Drosophila melanogaster: one gene and its partner. Changing the gene in region 1 together with any one later gene gives a genetic interaction. Each region holds a gene or a part of one and is shown in the gene's direction. Other genes may lie near its edges.

Region 1 (3,924 bases):
TTTCAAAAAAATATCTTACGCCACTTTCGAGCGTTACTTAGCAGGCCGGTCATGCTCGCTGAGCATTTGCACCCCCACCGGAACACGTGGCGGATCGGACTAGGTTCTTGGCTATGAGTTGCCATATAGAGTGGGATATCTCTGACCTCCTCCTGGGGTGGAATGGGCTGGCTCGATTGTCCGCTGTGTGCTGAGGCGATAAGACGCGTTGCATTCGAAATGAGTGTAACGTATATTTTATACGAGACAAGGCAGGACTGGGCTTTGTTGAGGTTTTAGTAGATACGAGATAATGTTCTACCGACCGCGCGACCTTTGACTAGGAAACACTGATGATATTTGCCTAGCCCTTATCTACTCGGGGGGGGGGGGGGGGGGCCATAGTTGAGTGCATATTAGGGAATTCGGATAAGATCCAATTCGATCCTACCAGCATTAAGGACTGCAATCAAGTGAATACCTTGAGTGCCATCCAATGCCCGCACGTTCCACGACAATCCTTTAGGATCTGCCCTCATAAGCGGGACACTTGAGAACCGCTTTTCCACCTCTTTTCTCAGCCTTTTTTTTTTTTGTTTTTCCGCGTGTGTTGACACAACCCATATAAAGCCAGGATATCCTGCTCGGGAGGAAATTACTTAAAGGGATCACGAACTCTTCCCCTTTCGAAAAACTCCTTCTTGAGTTGTTTATGTTTTCAGGCATGACTGCCGCCGAACGCCAGTAGAATTCTCAAATTTGTTATAAAGTGTGTAAATTCACGTTGCTTTTCTTTTTGAGGGAGGGTGTGTCCCATAAACAGAAAACCGAACCACAAGGGATCGGATCTTATGGGAGTGGAAAGGAACGAATTATGGATGGATGATGATGCTGCCTAATCGAACGTTCGTCAAACGATCTCTGCCTTTTTTGGGGTGATTGCACTCCGTTTTTTCTTGTTTTTTTTTTTCTCGGGTTTTTGTGTGGAAAGCCGATGGGTTTTCCCATTATTTCGTCGAGTGCAAAGGACAAAGCAAATGATGTCTTTAGTCTACGAATCTGACTTCCAAGGCTTTGTCCCAATTCTTTCCTTCTTATTTAATTGGATTTGTTCAAACAATATAAATCTCGTTTTATTGCCTTTGGTAGTGTAATTTAATTTTTTACGATTTTGCACACGAAAGGAAAAAAACTTTATGAAAATGCAGCACGAAATGAGCAGAAAACTTGCGTTTCACAAAGTGAACCATAACGGAAATTTGAAATACCCAGTGCTATGCAAACACCACAAGGAAATTCGAACTAGACGTGCACATTATTTTACATACATACATACATACATCGTACAAATGTATATTTGGTGGACCAGTGCCCCACAATGCAAGCGCGATTTTCCCCTTGGCAACACGAGGAAAGTGAAAAGAATTGGTGCCCCAAATGCCCCCTGCCACTTCCCTCCGACGACTAAAAATCCAGTTTGAGGCCAAACAAACCAAAACCATAACATCGTTTTTTCGTATCTTCCCATCGCAATCGCAACTAAAAGTACAGCTCCACCGATGCAACAACAACCAAGAAGGCAGCGAACAGAACACACGGATGGAAATGGCAGGGATGGGTAGATGGCGTGCGAGAGAGTGGGAGACATATGGTGAGAGAGAGAGAGGTTGTGGAAGTTGTGACGACTTTCTTGATACGCTCTATGAAGGAACCTTGGACAGTTTAAAATATAATTAAATTGGTTATTTCAAAAACATTAAAAATAAAATCTGGTTGAATACTGTTTACAAATGAACTATGGGCTTATGAGCTGTGAATATTATTTGACAGGAAATAATGAAAATAATGATAATAATAATAATAATAATAATAATGAATACGTATTATATATTGTACTATATGATGATTCCAACAATCAATAATTATATTAAAGCTCATAATATCAAAACTTTTAAACTCAGATGCCTTAGTTAAATTTTGTTAGGAAACTTTTATTTTTCTGAGTATTTTTTATACGTTTGCTATATAAGTTTAAAGAACAATTCAAAGGAAGTGCATTGCTCTTTCGATATGATTAACATTAAAAGCGCATTCTTTTTCCCTATCTCTTTCGCTCCTGCTGCTTTTCCGATCTTTTCGAATTCGAGGGTTGCTACAGAGAGAGCGTGAACCGCTCTGAATTTCCAGTTGGCAACGCCTCTGGTGGTTGTTTGACGTTTGCTTTTGCCCAGTGTTTTATTTATCTTTTATTCGTTTCTCCGAGTTCGTCGAGAGAGGTTCGCTTCGATCGGTAGCGCTATATTTAAAAATCTAGTGCGCAGTGCGCTCATAGCCGAAAAGGTTAACAAACATCGCTGTAAAAACGACTTCAAGTTGTAAAGACAAATATAATACAAAGGTGCTGCCATTGGCAGCTAACTCATACAAAAACTCCAACGAGACCCGCAAACGTTTCGTTTTGTGAGTCGACTAGCAGTGCAGTGTGTTCGAATCGCCATTCAAAGATAGTGACCAAGTGCTATTGGACCAAGGCATTTGTTTATAATTATTTTTATAAACAATTGCAGCGTGAAATTTCACTTTTGAACGCAGCAAGACGTAAAATAAGCTGCAGCACAACGCACACACAGAACACTCGCTCTCCCTCTCACATACACACACGCTCGCGTGTGGAGACCGTGATTTGTATTCGTGTGGAGACTGCCTCTCTCTCTTTTGGGGCTGTCTGAACACAAAGTTTTGGCGCCAAAAGTTTGACAGTTCGCTTTGGCGTGTAATTCGCAAACAAGTGGCAAGAAAAGTGCGTCTCAAAACAGAGTAGAAAACACTAGGGGATCCCAAAAAAATATATATTGACTCAACATGGTCAGTGCCCGAGTCCTGAATCCTGTGATGATCAGTGAGTTCTGCAAGATGAGCAGCAGCCCGGCGGTGAGTCGCAATCTGGCATGCGGTCGTCAGTTGAATCGCATAAAGCGTGACCTCTTCGGTAGCTCCAAATCCGCCGAGGGTACAGCCAACAAAACGTGAGTTTCTATAATAACAGTTGGATTTTGACCAATAGCTAACAATATATCCTCTTTAGACCCTTTAATTCCGAACTGGAGCGCCATCAAGAACTGGCCACGCAAAAATGGGGCTTTGACTTCCGCGCCGGCTGCCCTTTAGCTGAAAAATCACCCTACATTTGGGAGCGCGTCAGCTTCCAGGAGTCGAGCTTCGCCCCAGAGATGTACACCCTAACACGGGCCGCCCACGTACGCCCTTCCGCGGATGCAAGTCCTAGCGACATGGACATTTTGGTCAACGAGCGCTCAGAACGGGAGAACTTTGGCTCCAATCTGGTCAATTCCTCGCTAGAGTCGAACACGGATAATGAATCTTGTTACGACTCCCAGGACGAGTCGCTGGCAATGCGGCTTAGCTCCTCCAGCACGACAAGCACATCCTCCATAGTCCTGCGCAAGAGACAGCCAAAAATCACAGGTGAGTTTTGGGGGATGTTCTACACCATTTTGATCAGTAGAGCTTGACGGTTCCCAGGGTCAGGCTTCATTTCACTTCGATAGACGTTACAAAGTGTTTTCCCATAGCTTTCCTTTTATTCCCTGTTTATTTTCGGTTCTCAGGAGGAAGTTGAGGGTGTTTTTTTTTTTTTTTTAACTTATCAGGCTTGTTTTGTAATCGGACTGATACGATATTATTTTTCAAAATTATCTGTAGAGTAGAGAGTATTATCTAAAAATTTCCGAATATAGTGCTCGAGATATAAAAGTAGATTCGTGCTCTTTGTTTTGCAAACTCGATGAAAACGATTTTCATCAATGATTTTATGCCAAACCAATATTTTGTGCAGGATTTTGTACTTACAATACTAAACTCCATAAGGGGTTGTTTGATTGGTTTTAAGTCCACTCCTTCGCATTTATTGTTTATATTCACGTT
Region 2 (3,924 bases), on another chromosome or scaffold:
GATAAGCCAGTCCATTGCTGTACCAGTGCTGCTGCTGCTGCTCAGTTAAAAGAACGTTGTGTATGAAATATTGGTAGAACTGCACGAGCCAAGCTACAAACGCCACTATTTGCGCCCCCGCGGCGCATATGTTGGAAGTCAGGAGCAGCATCATTGTGCCTCCTTTTTTGGCCGCAGAGGCTGACTTTAGGACAGCGGCGATGGCAGCCACAGCGCAGGCCAGCAGTGCGAAACCGGTGCCCAAGGTAGTAAGTAGCCAGAGCCAGAAGCTAGTGTCGTCATTTTCTGTCCGAACAAAGGTATACACTGAAAATACGGTGTGAAATAACAAAAGTTAAACAGGATTGCTTTAAAAATTTTATATTTTATTTGCATCTCCAAAAGCTGTTAAGCTTCCACGACGTTTTTATTCTATGTTGCATATTTGTGGCTCGCAATATAATACCCTTGCAATTTTAAAAATTGTAAACCCCAAATTTCAACCATATTATATAAAAGCAAGTAAAATATGGTTCCCTATGTCCTCGCTTCTATTATATTTTTTGCGCCAAAAATTTCAATATTTTTCAATTTTGTTAAATAGAATGTAACTTCCCTTTAGCCCTAAAGTTTGTTGTGTCACTTGATTATTAATAAGAAAAACAAAAACAATTTTGGTTTTTACAATTTAATTTTTAAGCATATCCTTAGGATCTGCAAGATAAATAAATGTAATCGAAAAGTATACATAATGGTTAATTTTTGGATATGTCTGCACTGATCATGAGTATTATTCGGGTATTTAATTTTATCAACTCGCCCGATTATGTTTGTGATCTTCACAACTAAACAAATTTAAAAGTAAATCTATTTTTAACAACAGTCTTATCCAGGACAATATCGGTTTTCAACTAATACATGCCCCAATAATCAGCACATTTTCCTAATCGTATATTCATTCAGAAAGCGTCCCAAGAAGTTTAAAGAGGCTAATTCACGATGCAGGTAATGAGAAGATCACTCTCTATCTAGTTTTCCCTGCTATCTAGGCTACTTTGATTGCTCACCATCAACCGAATTTGTGCGGACTCCGAATCCGGGATTCAGGTGGTAGTTGCCGAAGAAGAGTCCGAAGTTGAATTCACCCTTGGCGTCCGACGAGTTCTTGCGGCGTGGAGTGGCCCGCACCCAGTGATTAGTGGTCATGCTGACGAGCAAGAGGCCAATAGCCAGGCAGCTGCCAAAGAAGGTGGAGAACACTAACGCCCGTGTGTGCAAGCTCATCTTGATAATGCTCATGGAAGACCGGTGGCATATGTAGAAGGCTATGCTGTTTTCACCATTAAGAAATGTCTAGGGCCCGACTCCAGCTGCAGCGAAGAAAGTTAGTAGGAAACGTTAGTAAGCGGAGGACGCAATGCCAGTGGCCTTGCAGCGTATTGCTTACCCTTTTATGACTATGTCGGCGGGATCAATTGCAAATATAGTCTTTGTTCGCGGAACAAAAGATTGTTGCACAGGTAAACAATTAATATAAACTGTCTTGCCCTTGTTTTTTTCTCAGAAGAGAAGACTGAGCGGATATTTTTTCTCAAAGAGTACGGTAGCATTAATTTGGGATTTGGTCTGGCAACCACGGCCCGTCTAGTATATTCGATAACGATACAATTCTCATACCAAAATGGCTCGACAACCCTGGTTCCATGCAAAAATAGCGCGAAGTTTTTGTGTTTACGGCGGTGAAAAAATAGATTTCGTGTAAATATGAGCAGTCGCAAGCACAGAGGCTCCGAAAACATGGAAAATTTGTGCCCGGTGACCAGGTGAGTTTTCCTTTGCTTGGGGTGTGGGTTCAAGCAGCAGACCACTGAACTGGTCGCGTGACGTCACACGCGCCACAAGTGTCCAAAAGAGGTCAAGAAAGTAACTTATTGAATTGCAGGGTTCTTGACCCTTTCTTTCATCAGCCATTCTGCTGATGAAGCACGATCGAACTGCACACTTTTAATAAATTTTCGACTATTGCAGAAAGCGCTCGACTAATAAGAACCACGTCTCTGTTGTGGGCGCTCTAGTTTCCACTACGAAGTCATCGCACTACGAGCACCCTTCCTCGCCCTCGGCACTAACTTTTGAGGCCCTAGAAGAGATGGGAATCGGAATGCTTGATTCCGAAGAAAGCAGCTCCTCAGCCCTCTCGGCCATCGCTTTGGCGGTTAGCGCCACCAGCGACGACAACTCAAATGAGACGACCCCGTGCGCCAGTGTGTCGCGCATGGCGCACCAGCTACAGCACACGCAACGGCTAAGTCTGGGCTCTACGGGGGACATCACACTGGATAGCCCAGCTGTGGAGGATTCACTGTCGATGTCCCGTCAATCGGCCGAGAAGCTGCAGATTCTGGCGCAGGCTAAGCGCTCGTCGTTGGGTTCTGAAGGTAGCGGCAATTCAAACTCGCCCAGCAAACGTTTGCGCAACCCCCTGGCTGCAGTCACCTGTAACAACCAGATTGATGGGACTGCTTCGCTCAATTTTCAGCCATCAACCAGCAGGTTGGCGCAAGTTCGCCAGGCAAAAAAGCCCTCGACAACAAATATTACAACCCGAATAGTGGCAGCGGACAGTTTCTTTGTGTTTCGCACCCCGGCCATGAGTGCCCACATCAACAGCGGCATAAACTACTTTGAAAGACTTTCAGACGAAATACTACTTGACATCTTTAAGTGGCTCCCGAAGAAGACGCTGCTGCGCATGGCTACCGTTTGTCGACGCTTTAACCGCTGCTCTCGCGATGAGACTTTGTGGACAAGGCTAGATTTGGGTTTGCGGACAATTAGACCAGGTGCCCTCGAGCAAATTGTACGGCGGGGAGTCCTTGTAATACGTCTGGCCCAGACTAGTGTAAGTTACATCTAACATTATGTTTTCGGGAAACAAGAGCATCTAATCTTTGAACTGTAGATCCAGGAGCCCGCATTTGCACCATATACAGAAGTGTTTAGGACCCGATTACAATATCTTGACCTGAGTATGGCTTCCATCACCCGAAGCTCACTGCTGACACTATTGTCCCACTGCCGCCAGCTAAAGAAAATAAGCTTAGAGAATATTGAGCTCGATGATGACATCTGTGCAGAGATCGCAAAGAATGAAGCTTTGGAGGCGGTCAATCTGACTATGGCTAGTGGCCTGACGTCCAACAGTGTTCGCCTGATGATGGAGTCACTTACCAGCCTAAGCAGCTTAAACATATCGTGGACTGACCTAAGTGCGGATGCTGTTACGGCGTTGGTTACCCACATTTCCCCCAACTTAATTCGGCTCAATATCGCTGGCTGCCGCCGCGTTTTGTTTGACTCGCGTAAGTAGTTCCCACCGTCTTCAATGATATATTTCCTTTTTGATTTGAATTTAATTTGTTTAGATGTTGCAACCCTGCAAAAACGGTGTCCTCAGTTGTTGGAGCTTGATCTATCTGATTGCAATAGTCTAACACCAACAGTCATTACTGCAATTATGAAGTTCAAGATGCTGGAATATTTGTCCGTCTCCCGATGCTATCTTATTCCAGCAACCAAATTTATGTAAGATTTTTCCAGCAAGCGTCTGATTAATCCCTACCCAGTCATTTTCCTTGCAGTGAACTTAAGAGTATGCCCTCGCTAACCTATTTAGACATATTTGGGATGCTGTCGGACACTGCAATGGAAGTCCTTGAGAAACAACTGCCAAAAATGGGTATAAACAAATTCATTCACAGTTCGGTATCCCGCCCGACTGTTGGCACGCGACGCACCTCCATTTGGGGTCTGCGCACGCGCGACTAAGTCTCGACTCTGCTGCTTCCGTTACCATTTGAATTTGTTTTGCTGCGTAAGCCACCCGTAACGCAGTTATTTTATTCTCAATTCAACAACATAAATAATCACATTTAGCTGTTCTTA

Evidence for each region.
Region 2: of dap (region 1) and Skp2, changing one suppresses a phenotype caused by changing the other (phenotypic suppression), as found in Drosophila melanogaster (one study listed by BioGRID).

The regions. Positions count from the first base shown.
Region 1 is NT_033778.4:9,710,099-9,714,022, forward strand, and holds the start of dap (dacapo), read left to right. Parts: upstream 1-2,222; 5' UTR 2,223-2,841; coding exon 2,842-3,005; intron 3,006-3,064; coding exon 3,065-3,465; intron 3,466-3,924.
Region 2 is NT_033777.3:4,335,426-4,339,349, reverse strand, and holds the start of Skp2 (S-phase kinase-associated protein 2), read left to right. Parts: upstream 1-1,675; 5' UTR 1,676-1,743; coding exon 1,744-1,802; intron 1,803-2,007; coding exon 2,008-2,881; intron 2,882-2,941; coding exon 2,942-3,341; intron 3,342-3,404; coding exon 3,405-3,564; intron 3,565-3,620; coding exon 3,621-3,807; 3' UTR 3,808-3,924. Other genes in the region: CG1103 (uncharacterized protein), read right to left, coding at 1-306, 1,047-1,278.